Linked DNA regions of Lonchura striata. The protein of the gene in region 2 interacts with the protein of the main gene of each other region in a pairwise test. Links are inferred from orthologs where the notes say so. Each region holds a gene or a part of one and is shown on either strand. Other genes may lie near its edges.

What was found.
Region 1: the proteins of GRAMD1C (region 2) and CD151 interact in binary tests that used the Homo sapiens proteins (3 or more experiments, as listed by UniProt). The link is inferred for Lonchura striata from reciprocal best matches to the Homo sapiens genes GRAMD1C and CD151.

Annotation. Positions count from the first base shown.
Region 1 is NC_134608.1:44,894,947-44,903,270, reverse strand, and holds the start of CD151 (CD151 antigen), read right to left. Parts: upstream 3,093-8,324; 5' UTR 3,022-3,092; intron 1-3,021. UniProt on the Homo sapiens protein: Structural component of specialized membrane microdomains known as tetraspanin-enriched microdomains (TERMs), which act as platforms for receptor clustering and signaling.
Region 2 is NC_134604.1:24,251,657-24,259,055, reverse strand, and holds the start of GRAMD1C (protein Aster-C), read right to left. Parts: upstream 3,034-7,399; coding exon 2,959-3,033; intron 2,254-2,958; exon of another isoform or gene 2,159-2,253; intron 1,650-2,158; coding exon 1,521-1,649; intron 1-1,520. UniProt on the Homo sapiens protein: Cholesterol transporter that mediates non-vesicular transport of cholesterol from the plasma membrane (PM) to the endoplasmic reticulum (ER).

The DNA.
Region 1 (8,324 bases), on a different chromosome or scaffold from region 2:
GCCTGGCAGCCAACAGCTTCTGTGCTGTGGGGAGGGATGGAATGAGGCACTCTCCACAGAACTGACAGAATACCTCATCTCCGTTCCACACACCTACCATTCCTCATTTCTCCTTCCACACCCTGGCTTCAGACACAGGGTAGAAGGGAAAAGCACACTTCTCACAGACTAGGAAGATGGTCACCATCCTGGGGAAAAGCACTGTCAAAATGCATGTACAAAAAAGGATGAGAAAATGGGATGGTTTTACAGTGACACTGTCCATTTCATTTCAGCTTTGCTGTGGCAAAAGAAAAACCATATTTAGGGTCTGAAAGGCAGGATGAGTGAGTGAGATAGGAGACTTGGTCTATATCCTTAGGATCTTGAAGGTTTTAAACAACAAGGGAGACTACGACTTCTGTTCCTCCAAGCCAGAGAAGCTGAGATGAGCTGTCACTTCTAGGAGCACCCCTCCCTCAGGCTTTCCATGACCTCAGCTGTCAGTGCACATACCCAGGGAGAGCTGGAGATAACCCAGTGTTGAGCTCAAGAGCAGAATACAGTAGAGTTGAGGGGTAGAACATCCTCTCACAAGGCTTAAGGAACAAGGCTGATGAAGCCACTGGGGATAGTAACGGTAAATTGGGACATGAAAATTCACAGCTACCCTTTTTGCTTTTCAGAGGCTGTCAAGTGTTTTTCTTTCTAAGCTTCTGCCTTACAAGTCACAAGAAGAACAGAAGGACAGTATAATTGCTTCATAAATGACCAAATTACCTGGAAATGCCAGACAGGATAGTCTGCCACAAGAGGGAACACATGGTGATAAGAGATGTTACACAAACAAACACATGTAAATACACATTTTCCATCCATCCAGAACCAACAGTTCAATGCGTTCCTGGGCGAAGAAGCCAAATTATGCAGAAGGAACAAGTGAATTTGCCTGTGGGATAACCTGGCTAGAAGAGACACAGGTCTCTAATCAACCCCCTCAGGGCTGTCTCAAGAGTAAGGGAGTTGTTGCCTTCTTTGCATGTGTGATGCAACAGTTCAAGCCATGATAGAACTTTTATTTGCTGAGAATGATAGGCCTGCTGGAAAGTTCCTAAGGGGAAAGAGAGCCCTTCACAGCTACTCCCACTGAACATTTTTGCTTGACAAAAAACCAGCAGCTTTCTTCCACCCCCTTCATGAAGAATGCATCACACCCAAAGAGAGAAACTTTCGGACACTGCACTGCAAGTAGCAAATAAAACCCCTTTAACAGACCTGCTCTGAGTTAGGAGAAATAAAACTGGTTAAACTCTCACAAAATGTACAAGAGGGATTAACCACCTCAGACTTCAGAGTAAAATGAAGTGTCACACATGGTATATTATTTCAAGCACTCAGAAAATACGTTTTTCTTATTGATCCCTGAAGCCAGCATACAGCAGGGAGTGCCAGGACTTTTACCAGGCAACTGGGGGAGTCATTGTCCTCCTCTGCAGAAGCCACAGGACAATGAACACAAGCAACAGTTTGGAATGAAACATACTTTTTGCAGAAATACAGCATATGACCAGAAGTAAATACAGGCCAGGAACTCAAAGACATTATCAGCAAACTATAGAACAAGGATGTGATCTGAGGTGAATTACATGGAGTTCAAAAGCTGCCACCTCATCCAGCTCGCAGCTCAAGCTTCCAGCTGGCTCACAGAGCAGCTGTAGCCAGCCCACCTGTGCAAGCCAGTGCTGTGCCTTTGACAGGGACCTGTCACCAGATGCATCATATAAAGTATAAGTGATGCTACCCCAGCTTCCAATAATCCACAGACTGGGAACTGCCTGTCCTAGGCCCACAAAATGCTTCAGAGAATATAAACGCACTGAAACTTTTGCACTGACTTTTCTAGTTATGATGAGCTTAGCCACAGCTCAGCCAAGACAGGCACTCTACTCCCTTCACCACAGACAGTCCTTTGGCAGCAATGACAGTCACCCAGGAGGACTGGGACAGACCTTTGTCTTACTGGTGGGATGCTAAGAGACTCTTCAGCCTCCACAATACCAGCTGGTAAGACCGCTCGTCACACCAAAAGCTTCCCTAAGAACCATGGCATTGGACATAAATGTGTTTTCTGAGAAAGGGACGTCTTTCAAAACTGTCTGAACAAACAGCCTCTGATGGGTGATGCTATTTCAAGTCAACCCTTTTTCATGAACCCTCAGAGAAAGCCAGGAAGTGCGGATGGAGGACAAAGGAAATGAGCAGTGCAGAATTTAAGGGATGCTACACAGTAGCCAGAAATAAAGATATGTCACTGCTAAAATGCAACAGGATACTGCAACAAGTTGATTACAAAAGCCCTCAGGAAAAGTCAGACTTTAAAAATAACTACCGCAGTTCACGTTCTTCATGAGAGGACAAGAAGAAGAAGCTACTGGCAAAGATTCCTCATGGCAAGCAACACAACGGTGCAGAAATAACCCATTGCCATCAGCTCCCCATCTGATGCAGCTTCCAGAAAAAGAAGGGAACAGAACATCGCCTGGACTGCGTGGTAAACAAGCGCTCGTTCTCTCCCTCCTCCGCCTACAAGGGTCCTACAAGCCCAGCAGAAAGGCCAACTCTTAACTGTACAACAGGGAAATCTGACTGAACAAAAGGCAGAAGGGGGTAAAAATCGTTTCACCAGATTTATGGCAACATTTCAGAACGCCTTTACTAATTCCGCGGGCTGTGCAAAGTTATGACACCAGCCGCAACAGGTTAAAATACTTTCCTAAGAAAAAAAAAAAAAAAAAAAAACCAAAAAGAAACAAAAACAAAGCATACAAGGGCCAAGCCCCTGCAAAGCTGTGCAAAGCCACAGGGCGCTGGAGGGGAAGCCAAGCAGCGCTGCGGCAGAGCCGGGCCCGCTGCCGCACGGGGCCCGGGCTCTGCCGGCTCTCCCGGGCTGCCGCCCCGGCCCTTCCCCGGCCCGCTGCCGGCGCCGCCGCGCCCGCGCCTCCCCGTCCCACCGGTGCCGCCATGTCGGGCGCTCCGCCTCACCGTGGGCCGCCGCTCCGCGCCGCCGCACGCCCCGACCCGCCGCGCTGCCGGGAGGCCCGGCCGGGAGGGAGGGCGGGAGGGAGGCGCGGCCGGCCCGGCCCACCCCGGCCCGGCCGCCTCCCCCGGCTGCCTGCCCGGGCTGTCCGCAGCCCTCGGCTCCGGCGCCTCACGGTGCTGCTTCCATTACAGCGAACTCCAGATGGAGCCGCTTTTTTGGGTTTTTGGTTTTTTTAGGAGTCAGATCCGCTTGTTAAAAGTGTTCTCCATGAAACCCTGTAAAACAAGATCAAGCCCTGACTGGCACATTGCCTCATCCTCCCATTACCTCACTTGAGCCGCAGCCCTGTGCGAGGGATGCTCCCAGGAAAACACCCGCTCCTCTCCGCGGCGTCTCTTGGTTTTTCAGGAGTGGGACGAAGAGAGGAGATCTGGGCAGGGAAGGGAGAGGCCAGTTCAGAACCTCCTGCGTGCTTGCTTTAACTTCTCCATGTGCCCAACTCAGAAATCACTTCATCCTTCCCAAGGAGTAAGCTCGCTTTAGCTCAGAGCAGCTGGAGATCCAAGTGATCAAATAGAGCCTTGGGGGGTCAGCTTGCTTGCACACTGACAGATTTGTTGCAAGGAATATGTCGCAGGATCTGGAAGCCACAAGAGACACCGGCCCCTGCCCAGGTCCTGGCCCTCCTTGGTGGAGCCCTGCGTAGCCACCATGCTGGGCAAATGCCTTCTTGCCATGTCCAGGGATTTCATGCCCAAACAGGAAACCACACAACCCCCCCAACCCAGCAGATTTGGGTCAGTGAACGGGCATGACCAGGCACAAGTGCTTCTTTGTGCTTGGGAGAGCCTGCAGGCAAAGGTGAGATACAGCATAGGATGCCCATCTCCCCGTCTTCAGTTTATTGCTGGAGTAATAGTTTTTTGGGTTTTTTTACTGCAGATACTTGTTTACCTTGAGGAGACTAATTTTACCTGGTCAGGTCTTCTGTGGACTAGTGTTTTCAGAAGTAGCACACAGCCACACTTGTGTTTGCAGCATGGTACATATATGTATATAAATATGCCCTGCAGGCTGGAGAGGCTGGAGCTGGGTTATTGTAGCCACACCAACCAAAATTTCCTTGTGACTCATCAACAGCCAGTTCAGTAATGAGCACCTCCTAACAAAGCTCTGAACTGCAGGGCCCCAGGTCTATTTACACTGAACACGAGATTGCCAAACAGAGCATTTGAAGGTGTATAATGGGCTGTGAGATACATTTTTCATTGGAGATTAAGTACTTGGTCAATATATGTTACATACAGATAAAGATATTACAAAAGAAAGGCCTTATGAAATCAAGCCTTGCTCTGCTGAATTACCAGCTGGACTGTTACTTCTTCTAAGTGCAGCTAAATTCTCAGTTGAAGGAGAATGAGAATCCATTTGCATAACAACCTATCCTTAGAAAACTAAGTTGCACCTGTAATAAACAAGAAATCTGTCCCACAGGAGTCAGGGAACAAAATATGTAAACTAACAAAATATAGAGATTTGACAGACATACGCCCTAGCCATTTACCGACCAATAAACTGTGTCAGTGTATTGTTAGCCAATTAGGTCTAACAGTGCCTTCTGAGATCGCCTATAAATATGAGCTTTGTGAATAAAGAACTGACTTTTCTGCATGAAGAAACCGAGTCCCGTCTACTTATTAATGCAATAAATATATATATTTATAGTCTAAGCAATCAACAAGTAAAAAGATCATGAAAAGACACAGAAGAAGGTGACAGGACAAAGTAATATGTGAGTGAATGCATGAGTTACCCATAGCAGTAACTCATTAATTGTATGTAAATGGAAAAGGTCCCTTGGACCTGGAATAAAGAAGGTACTAGAAAACAACATCTCAAATGTTTGAAATTTCTGCATTTATACTGTGGAAAAGCTTCAAACTTAACACCGTGGCTTAATGCTCTCTTTTCAGCCCTGTTTTGGCTTTTCAAAGAGATGCTGTCAGCCTAATCCTCTTATGCTTACCCTTAGTATATTGACACGAAACAGATAAGTGAAAGCAAAGCAGAGTGAGGTCCCTTTGCTGGCCTGCAGGGATTTGTGGGGCCATGGCTACTTATCAGAGCAGCTGGCTTTTATGCTTTTGCCTCTACGCCTGATTGTGTACACAGGTGCACTGTTGCATGTTCCAGGATAAGGCTTCCCAGGCTGCAAGAAGAGTCTTTCTTGTGATATGATTCCAAAATACTTTACAGATTATGTGCAAAAAGTCACTTGTTCACTAAGAGGCTGGAGCCAATATGGTGAATGTATAAGCCCCCAGGCAGTCTTATTTTGCATCCCCCCTCATCTCATGCCCCTCAGGGTATCTCATTATTTGCATTTATGCTAGAGTTTCCAGCAGTCACTTACAAAAGGTGGCTGCTCCCAGAGCTTCCATTTAGAGGCAGGAGAGATTCTGACAAAAAAAGGGAATGTATTAAAATGAAGAACTTTTTGGAAATTCTGGTCTCCTTTAGGTCTGATATCAGACAGGTTTGAAAACTAGCAACATATCCCTTTAGATTGTAAGTGGCTGAGTCTTCCAACAGGACAATGTAATCTTTGTGCTGAGAGACAACAAAAGATCTTCCAGTAATAAACCCCACCCTGCTGCTTACCGTTGTCCAAGCTCAGTATGCTCAAATTCTGTGCCATTTTGTCATCCTTGAAACAAAAATCCACCCTTTCCTGCTTACAAAAAGTATATGTTACAATTAACTACTTCTGTTATCAGTTTATAGCAGGGGAAATGAGTAACAATTTGTTTGGTCAAAACTGCAGAGTGATTAGTTCTGTAATGCATGAACATCCAGCTGGAGCCATGCCAGGGCACATTAGAAGCAACCAAATTCCTAACTCTAGTGAAAAGGATGCATGGGACATTAATAAAATAAAGTTTTAATTCCATTAATAGAGGTGACAAGGTGAGAGTGGTTTCAGTCTCTCTCTGAAACCACTATACCCCCCAGACATTCAGGAAGTGTCTCCCCTTTTTCTCCTCTGTGCTCTGCCCTCCGTAATTAGCTGGATGGACTCTGGCTGCTTAAAGGAGGTAAAAAAAGATAAGATTAATTTCTCCTGAGCTGCCCCCAAGACATGGGCTCCTGGTTAACTCTTTCCTTGCTTGTAAGACTCCCTGTGTACCACCATGCAGGACAGGCCACTGCTAGAGCAGTGAGTAGGGAGGGTCACACTAGGATCAGTGATTGAACATGGGAGGCTGAATCTCCTGCAGCACCTGAAAAAAAATCTCTCAACACAACCACTTGTAAGACAGCATTTCTTTATTGCCTGTACTGTTTGCACACTAAGAAAACATACTTAAGGTTGTACATTGAAAGAACCTGCTGGTTCTTGCCATTGCAGTATGACAGCACTGATAAAGGTACTGGCCCATATTTGTGTGTCAGGTGTGTTTCACACCTTTGTCTTAGGTGTGCTGTGTACAAAGCGTGGGAGGCACACATTCAGAACATCTTAGCATGGATTCCCCTTCCCAAAAATCACTCCTTGCAAACACAAGTAGTTCCCCTGGAAACACTGTAGGTCTTACTCCAGGCTCCACACCAGCTACCCTGGTTCCTTCAGGGCCTCTTGTAGCTTTCCAATTCCCAGTCTCTGGAAGGCATTAGTGCAGTTAAACAGTGTTAAGCCACAGCCAGCCAACAGTAAGGACTGAACAGGATCTTACTGCTTTTAGCTCTTCCTTTTACTCAGAAATCCTGCTCATCCAGAGAAAAACTTCCTCTTTCCTATCAGAAGTAAAGGGCACCAGAAGGAACCATGGAAATTCTTTGTAATACTGATGTCTGTAGGGGTGACTCAGAGTACTTTTCCTGTCTGGGATATTCCCAGCAAAAAACGTGCAATAAATAGGCATTCAGAACACCCACCTCATCCCAAGAGAGGAAAGACCATGGACAAGTACTGGCCCTTCCCTATACTGCAAGATCTGCGGACTGCATCACAGCTGCAGTATCTTGTGCCTAAAATGTCAGAGTCACATACAGAAACAGCCTCGAAGACAAAAGGGGAAAGGGCACTAGCAAAAATCTCACTTAATCCCAAGGCTTTGAGAGCTGAGCTGCAAACCAGAAAGCATGGCACCCCAGATGCTCTATGCCCAGGCATTGTGGCAACTTTGCCAATAGGAGCACTTCTGGGGACAGTTTCTACCTCTGCCCTGCTTCTCCTTGCCCTGCTTTGCCTGGACCCTTAGTGACAAGAAGGTCCCTTCCCAAGGGGAACAGATTGAGTCCAGCTCATTCTCAGGCCCTTCACCAGTAAAGCGAGGCTGGTGCTCCAAGTCCCGGCAAGAGAAAAAGGTACATTTCACAGGCAGCTGCTTCATGCTTCCAGCCCAGGTGCTTTTGAAAGCACTCTAGTGGGATCTTTCAGGACAGAGGGTAAGGCAGTTCCAAGTTGCTGGAGATTCTTCAGGAAAGGATAAGAGAATGGGAGGAAACAGGCAGCATTCAGCCTTAAAACAGGCTATATATGGCTCCCCTGGTTTGTACAGCACAAAGGGCCCATCCTGCAAAGGACTATGAATCAGCAGCACATGCCAGAGCCTGTGGGTCCCAGGGCAGCTGCTCTGTGTTCTGTAAACATTCACTTTAAGGACAGTGAACAGGTCCATAAGGGTGACAAAGCAATGAAAGCCATTGGGATTCATCCTATCAGTTCCTATTATGATCACATATAGAATCTGTTAACTACAATATTGGCAAGTCCAACCAAATCCTGCAGTAAATCCAGGGCCCAATCCAGATCTTGCAGGAAGTGGTGGAAGTGTTCCCATCACAGCAGGCTCTCAGCTGAGTACTGCTTCTGCAGAACCAAGAGGAGATGCTTCTCTCTGAGACAGGTGGATCACTACTTAGAGCTAGCCCAAATTTAAAATATTTTCTTTCCTTCTTATACAGAAATTCTATTTAATACAGACCCACTGTGTCCTCTGGTCTCTGCTGCTAGGCCACTTCTTTTCCAGAAAGAACAGGAACAAGACTTCATTCCTTTACAGGGAACAAACCTCTCCAAGACAGAAGGCCCAGTCTGTGCTACTAGCTAAGACTAGCCAAATTCTCCCAAAGAAGCAGAGGCCTCTAGAGACCAGCACTGCATGCAGACTTGGAAGTAGAACAGTGCAGATAATATGCATATTTTGGCCTGATTTATGCCTCAAAATTCACAGACTGGGAAAAGCTGCACCTTCCCCAAGTCTCTAGAGAGCTGATACCACCAAATTCAGCTTGCCTGAAA
Region 2 (7,399 bases):
TAACTTTATTTTCAATCACCAGGCCTATCAAGGAAACACTGAATTGTTAACTGCAGGTCCAACAACCTAAGCAGGTTTATTCCTCACACAAAATACCACCTGTAGTAATGGTTGTACACCAACCATTGAGCATTAGTTTACACAATTTGCCACCTAGCAAGAGCATAGCTGGCAGTTGCAATGTCTGCACAGCATGACTTCCTATTGACTCAAGTACAGACACACAGCTGGGCACACGCAGGACAGCCCTGGATCATCCTTGTCCCTGTAGGGATAGTGAAGAAAATACTGAACACCACAAGAACTCACTCTAGCAACACAAGTCTATGACCTACTGGGATTTTATTAGTCCTGTCCCATTTCCATCGGCTCCAGATTACCACTGCATTTTTAAGAGTACACATGCACTTGGAGGGGATTTATCCTATGGCCTGAGATGCAAAAGCAGATGTCCTGACCATCAGGACATCTGCTCATGAAGAGGAGTGATGAAAACGTACAAGCTAGGTTTATAAACAAGGAGTTGGAAATCTGATCCCATGCCTCTGCTCACAGCTCTGCCATGGACTCCTTCTGGCCTTTACTAATTACTCAATCTTTCACGTGCTAAGCACAATGAACACTGTGACAACCTCATCAGGAGAAGGACACAGTGGACCAGATGATGTTCTTTGAGCTGAAGCACACGGATGTACACCTGATACAGAACCTGAGTCAGATTCCCTTCCTCACGGCTCTGGCACTCTGTGTCTCCCACAAGACCAGCTGTTACCTTGCCTGTGGCTCCATGCACATGTGGTCTCCTTTCCTATCAAACAATAACAAAGCATGCAACAAATTAACAGCAAAACATACACTCCAACACACACACACACACACATTCACCTTCTCTCAAGGCAGTTAAAAAAATCTACCAAAAGTACTGAAATAAGTTCTTATTATTACACACTCTGCTTTCAGTCAGGCATTTCCCCAGAAAGGGAAAAAACTGAATTATTTCTTTTCTGCCTTTCTTATTCACAAAGTAAATTTTTACAGAAAACACAGGTAGCTTATTTACTCTTGTGGAAAACAAATGTGTTTACTTGACAAAAACAAACACTAGGAATGCAATTCAGAAACACCAACCACTTCCAAAAATCAAAATTCAGCCCTTATGCTTAAAAAGCATCAGAACATCAAAAATGTCTTTCTATAGGCATATAAAACACTGGAAGGCTTCATGCCAAGGATTCAGGACTGGGCACAGAAGCCATAAGTTCTGCCACTAACTTGATCTGAGACAACAGATAAACAACTTCACCCCTTCTCTGTCTCACCTTACACTTTAGTAAGCCAGTAATGATAAAATTTCCTGCCTCACTACATGGATGGAGAACACTTTACTAATTCATGACTACAAAGCAACTTGAGAGCTGTGGATATAAAGCTTGTACATATACACATATATGTAAATTAAAATAGACACATAGTATACTTATAAATTAAAACCAAGTTAGGAGAGAGCTAAAGCACATTACCCAAAAGCTCCAGTCAGCACTCCAGCTATACTGAGCAGGACCCTGCATTTTCTCTGTGCATGAATTAAGAGTCTCCTCTGAATCAGCAAGTAGCTGGTTAATAAGACCATGATCCACTTCATGAACTTCCTGTGAACAAAGAAGTAAGGTATGTAATCCAGCAGTGATGGAAAAAGGTGAAACAAAATGGTTAGTCCATTTAACAGCTGTATATTAAATGAAATCCGACATGGCAGTTTCACCAAGGTGAGTGGCATAGAAACACTTCCCACTGACAGCTTTTTACTTTGTTTTATTTTTTTTCCCCCCTAGACTACACTATACTTAATTATATTTTACATTTTTATCAAAGTACTTTATTTCCATGTAGCCCCTCCCAACTTGCACGCTGAAGCTGCACATGCATTTAGAACTGAAATAGCATCAACACAAGACATCAGCGCCTAACATGTAGCAAGGTCTCAGGAACCCGTGAGACCTTTCAGAACTTGAGAAATACACGTGTAGCATTTTTACCAGAGGACTGGCAAATATTATTATAATACTGATACATCAAGTGTTTATACTTAATGTTAGTTACACTATAAATTGCACATAAATACAAACACTTCAGAGACAATTTGACTCATATCACTTACTATTATGATAATAAGCAGCACTGTTTTCTAATTCTGTAGCACTCCCCCCTGTTATCAGTATTCTTCGCTTTGGAAGTCAGTTTTACTTTATGAAGGGAAACAGCCACGGAACGTCACTTGTGCCACCCAGCCAGCAAAGGGTAGAAAACCAGCCCAGGGCCCTAACCAATAACCCCGCCTGTAGCACCGGATCCGCCGGGATGAGGCAACGCTGGGCTTCAGCTCCGAACCAGGTGCTGGGCCGGCCCCGGCCGGCCCGGGGTGCGCGCCCCCGCCCAGCGCTGCCCCGGGGCCGCGCCCGGGCTGGGGACAGGCTGCGGAGGGGACAGCGGGGCGAGGCAAAGGCACAGACACTCCGGGCTCCGCGGCGTGAGAGCAGAGCTGCCCCGGGGGGCTCTTCGCACTCCCTGCAGCCTCCACCAGTTGCTGCTCGCCCGCGCCCTCCCCACCGCAGCGCCGGGACTCAGCGGCTGCCCGGCCACCGCGGCCCGCCTCCCGCTGGCTCCCCCAGGAGCCCAGACCCTCCCTGCGGGGCGTTCGCCGCCCCCCTCATCGGGGCGCCCCGAGGGCCACCCTGCCCCCGGCCCCGCCTCGCCCCAAAAACTTTCGGGGAGGTGGGTGGGGACGGCGGGACCGCGCCGCCGCCGCCCGTCCGGGGCCCGCCCGTGCGGCTGCCCGGGAACAGAGCGCGGCCGCCGCCCCCGCACCTACCTGCGCGGCCGCCGCCGGCGCGGGGGGCGGCGGCCGGGGGCGCAGAGCCCGCCGGAGGGGCGGGGGGCCGCGGGGAGCGCGGCGCTTACCATGGAGGGGGGCGAGGGCCGCGCGGCGCCCGCCAGCTGCCTGCGCGGGGCGCTCGGCGGGGCCGCGGCCGCCATTTAAAGGGGCCGGCGCCGGCTGCGCCGCCGGCCCGCGGCGGGAGGAAGTACCGGGGGCGAGCGGTGCCGCTGCTCCCGAGCAGAGGGGGCCGTCACGGGGGCGGACAGCGCTGCGGCGCCTCCGGTGCCCTCCTGGTCGGGCCGCGGCAGCCCCTCTGCGGCTTCCGCAAGGGTTAACTGGGAAGCCTCCGCGCCGGTGGAAAGTTTGAGGGCTGAAGTAGGGGAAAACTGCCGGCTGCGGGGGAGGCGGCGTTCGCTGCCTCCTGCCCGAGGGAGAGCCCCGCGCCCGCCGCCCTCCGTGAGCGCAGCCGGTTAAACAGCGCAGGGCAGCGAAACGGCTCCCGGATCCTGGGGTCGTGGCATTCCACGGAAAACACTGCCGAGAGGCCGCTCCTGGGGGAGAGGGGGAAGGCTGGCTGCGGGCCGAGCGGAGAATGAGGTGGTATAAAGGGTGTCAGTGAGGGAGGTTTCATCCCAGGAAAACCTGGGTCTCGTTTTTGAAGCTGCTGAGTGCTTTCTGCCCCAAGCTCTGAGCACCCGGAGGGCTCCTCAAATCGGGGCACCCAACCAAGGCACCAAGGCGACGATGGCTCGCAGATTTGCACTGTCAGCTCACCTCACAGGAAGAAGAGCCTTGTGAGGTGCAAAGAAATCACATTGCTAGGTAGTTGGCTGGTAGATGGATGGATGGATGGATGGATGGATGGATGGATGGATGGATGGATGGATATACAGATCAATAAAGCAGCCTGTTGTCCCCTTTCTCTTACCCCTTCCTTGGGAAATGTTTGGAGGCTCCCTTTGGACATCTCAGGGTCCTGTAATGCCTGTTCACTGTTACATTAGAAAAAGTACCCAAAGCCCCTGTGGGTGACACGGCCTCCCAGCTGTTGGTCCAGACAGGACAGCGTTAATGCAAGCAACTGCAAGTCTCCAAAAGTTACAAGAGTGTGAAAAAGAATGTGTGGTTTGTTTCATTTTTGTTCCTTGCTTTCTTGATTTGCACTTGAAACTTGAATTTTGTGGGCTTTTTTCAACAACACTCAGTTTATTTTTCTTTTTGTCCAAAAACTGAATCATACTGGGTTTTCCAAGTGGGAGAAGCTTCATGTTCAACCACTGGCTGCCAGCAACACTAACCAACCTCCTTTGTATTTCCTCAGTTAACAGCTGGCTGACCTGGCACTTTGGCTCAGGCATGACCTACTTAATGGAGGATTCACAAGACAATTCCTAGTTCTGGATGACATGAACATAAACAGCATTTGCAGAAACAATGGTGGTATGTCCATCACAACACACTTGAAGGGGTTTTTTGAAGCACATCAAGTACTTGGGTCTAAATAACACAGTGTTGGATTGCCTTTGGTTCAGATCCATCTTTGCACGCTTACTCTTCTGACACACAGTCACAATCAGCACTCTAAACCAGTAACTCATGCCAAAGTCCTCTTGATCTGCCAGGTACCTTTGACTACTGGTTATTCCCTCATCAAACTCTTCATTGTTTTTGATTCCTCTAACTTTTCCTTTCACTGATATTTTGGCTTTGCTCACTAACACTTTGGCAGTACGTCCTTCAGAAGACCCTCACAAACTTCTATCTTCCTTCTGAAGTGCTTTGTTGCACTGCACTTGGTCCCACTTTTCTTCCTAATATGATTCCTGCCTGGTAATCACAGGCCTTCGCACTCTCTCAAGCCATTTCAGAGAAGTATTTGCCTTCTAGGTTCTTTTCTGCATTCTCCCACTAGCCCATCCTGCTTTCGCTGCTTCCACTGCTTTGGGGTCTGCATACCAAAGCTACAGTGACAATTACTGACTCCAGGAATGGACTGTTCCTCTTGACATTGTTTGGTCAGCCAACTTTAGCAAATCAATTGTGGGTTCTTTTGCTTTCAAATGCAAATAAAAGCAGAAATACTCGGGCATCTCTCAGCTGCATTGTGCTCTAAGAGTTCTGAAATTGAGTCTTTACTGGATACTAAAGCATAATTCCATTACCTGGAGAGTTTTGAAGATATGCAAGATCATTAGATAAAGAGTGCCATAATCTATAATCCTGTAGTTGAGGAAAGAGATGTCAGCCAAATAGTGACAATAGCCCATGCTTGGTACAGGTGTAGCACGGCTGGCAGAGCTGGGTGGTACAAGTGAGGCTTGGAGCTGCTGTAGCTCCTCTCAGAGGGTTCTGCTCTATGTGGGCCTTCTATAAACACAGATTAATTCAGAGCACACCTGCTGGTTTTGCAGATGGGCTGCCCTCTCCAGCAATTTTCCTCTCCACCCAAACTGCACAGACAAGCTCTACTTAAATATAAATAGAATTTAAGTAGTCAACTTTTGAAGAAAAATTATTTGTTCTGCACTGAAAAAAAAACCACTTTGGGGAATACAGTTAACCTGTAAACATCATACACATTTAGCCACAAAGATACTGAGTTCCTGAAGTTTTCTTTTGTGGTGCATTAGGGTGATAATGTGGTGCATTAAAGTCTGGCTGTTCAGAAAATTATGCCAATACTCTTTGTGTTCTCACCATCACTTGGGAGGGGTTCAGCAGAAGAGAGACCTCCTTTGGAGACTCTGGATAGTCTATACTCAGCCCAAAGTTGTGGTTTATAAAAGCCAAAAGTGAAAAACAATGAATTATCTTCCTTCTGCTCTCAGAGCATTTTCAACATGTTCTCAGGGAGAGATCAGAACAGCCACCGGGGAAGTAATTGTTGTCACTTGCAACGTGGTGGCTCTCATCCAGGGAGCAGGCAGAGCACTGTGAGCTCAAAGCTGTGGTAACTTTAGTAAGTGTGACATTCACTAGGCAGAATGTGAGGTCCTGTTGCTATAATACACACATATTTTTTACCCATACTACCAGAAGGAGAGATGATGAGGCCATGTACTTCAGTGACCATGAGCCAGCACACTGGGAAACTCTATAGATCTGTAGTGTCTTCATTTATCTTCTTCTTGGTTGCGGGTGAGTACTAAACTATCTTCCTTAATTAGAAGAAATATAGGTTGTTCTTGGAAGCTTGGCTGAAAAAGTTCTTTTTTTCTTTTTTTTTTTTTTTCCCCTCAAAATGCAACTTTCAACTGAGGGCTTCCTCAGGGTGCAGGGAAATTGTGTTTAGTGTTGTACATTGCATTAAAACATACTTTTCTCTTTAGATACATTCCTGTTTATCTAGTATAAATGTTCAGAAAGAGTGTATTTGCCTATCTTTCCCCAGATGTGTCTCATCATTCCTAGAAGCTTCATTTCTGTTTTGTTTCTCTGATGCATTAGCCACCAGTTATTGTCACAAGGTAGTTATTCATATCTGTTTGTGAGAGCCAACTTTAGCCCAGGGCAAAAGTCATATAAATTAAAAGTAGCAATGTGCAGTCATTGATCACTTATTCATAGATGGCTGGGAGCTGAATGCAGCTTGTAAAGCACCTTCATGGCACCAGCATGGTATGAGTGTGAAGCTGAGATCTAAAGCAAAGAAAACCATCTGAAAGACAGTAATTTCATCAGCAGAAGGTTTTTTTGCAGGTTGGAAATAGTGCCCTATTTCCAATGTTGCCCTCAACCCCTCCTCCAGCTACTGAGTGTGAGTGTAGGAGAGGAGGCTAAACTGGAAAGGTAGAATTCTGCACTGACCTCCACACACTGTTTTGGTTCCACCATGCTCTTGGCAGCTGGCAGAAGAAGCTTGCAGGACTGCTTGGATTTACTGCAGGCACCAAAGACTTAAGTGAGGCTCCAGGACAGGAAGAGAGTGCAGCTATATTTTATTATTTCTTTTTGTCACCCCAGCTCCTCTAGCCTGCCTTGCATATTTCTCACTTGCAGGTCTTATATGGCCCTATATGGGGAAGTATCAACCTACAGATTACATAAAGGGGAGGCTGAGGGCTTTAGTAGGTGCCCTATAAGTACTGCCAAATCCAGAGCACATTGCCACATTGCAGGGAGTCCCTGAGAGCTTTCTCCCCTCGTGGCTGAAAACTGGACGTGAACTAAGGACTTCATATGACAATGACCTATTAGATCATCTAATAGTTTGTCCAGGTCTAGACAAGATCATCCATGCTGAATTTCTTGTACCTGTCTAGCTCAAGTGCTTTCAGCACAAAGCCTTGCACCCCTCTCCATGGGCTTGAGCCCCACAACCCACATGACAAGGGGCACATCACTCTGCTAATGAAGCAATTGACTTTAAAAGAGCTTTGAAGCAGAGTCAGCAAAGCATTTGCTATGGTATGCTCCCAGATGCCAAAACGATAAGGGCATTGTGTAATTGAATACCACTGAACTAATATGTTCCAGTTTTGCAGCCTTAAAAAATAAAAAGAAAGAAAAGAAAGAGAGAAAAAT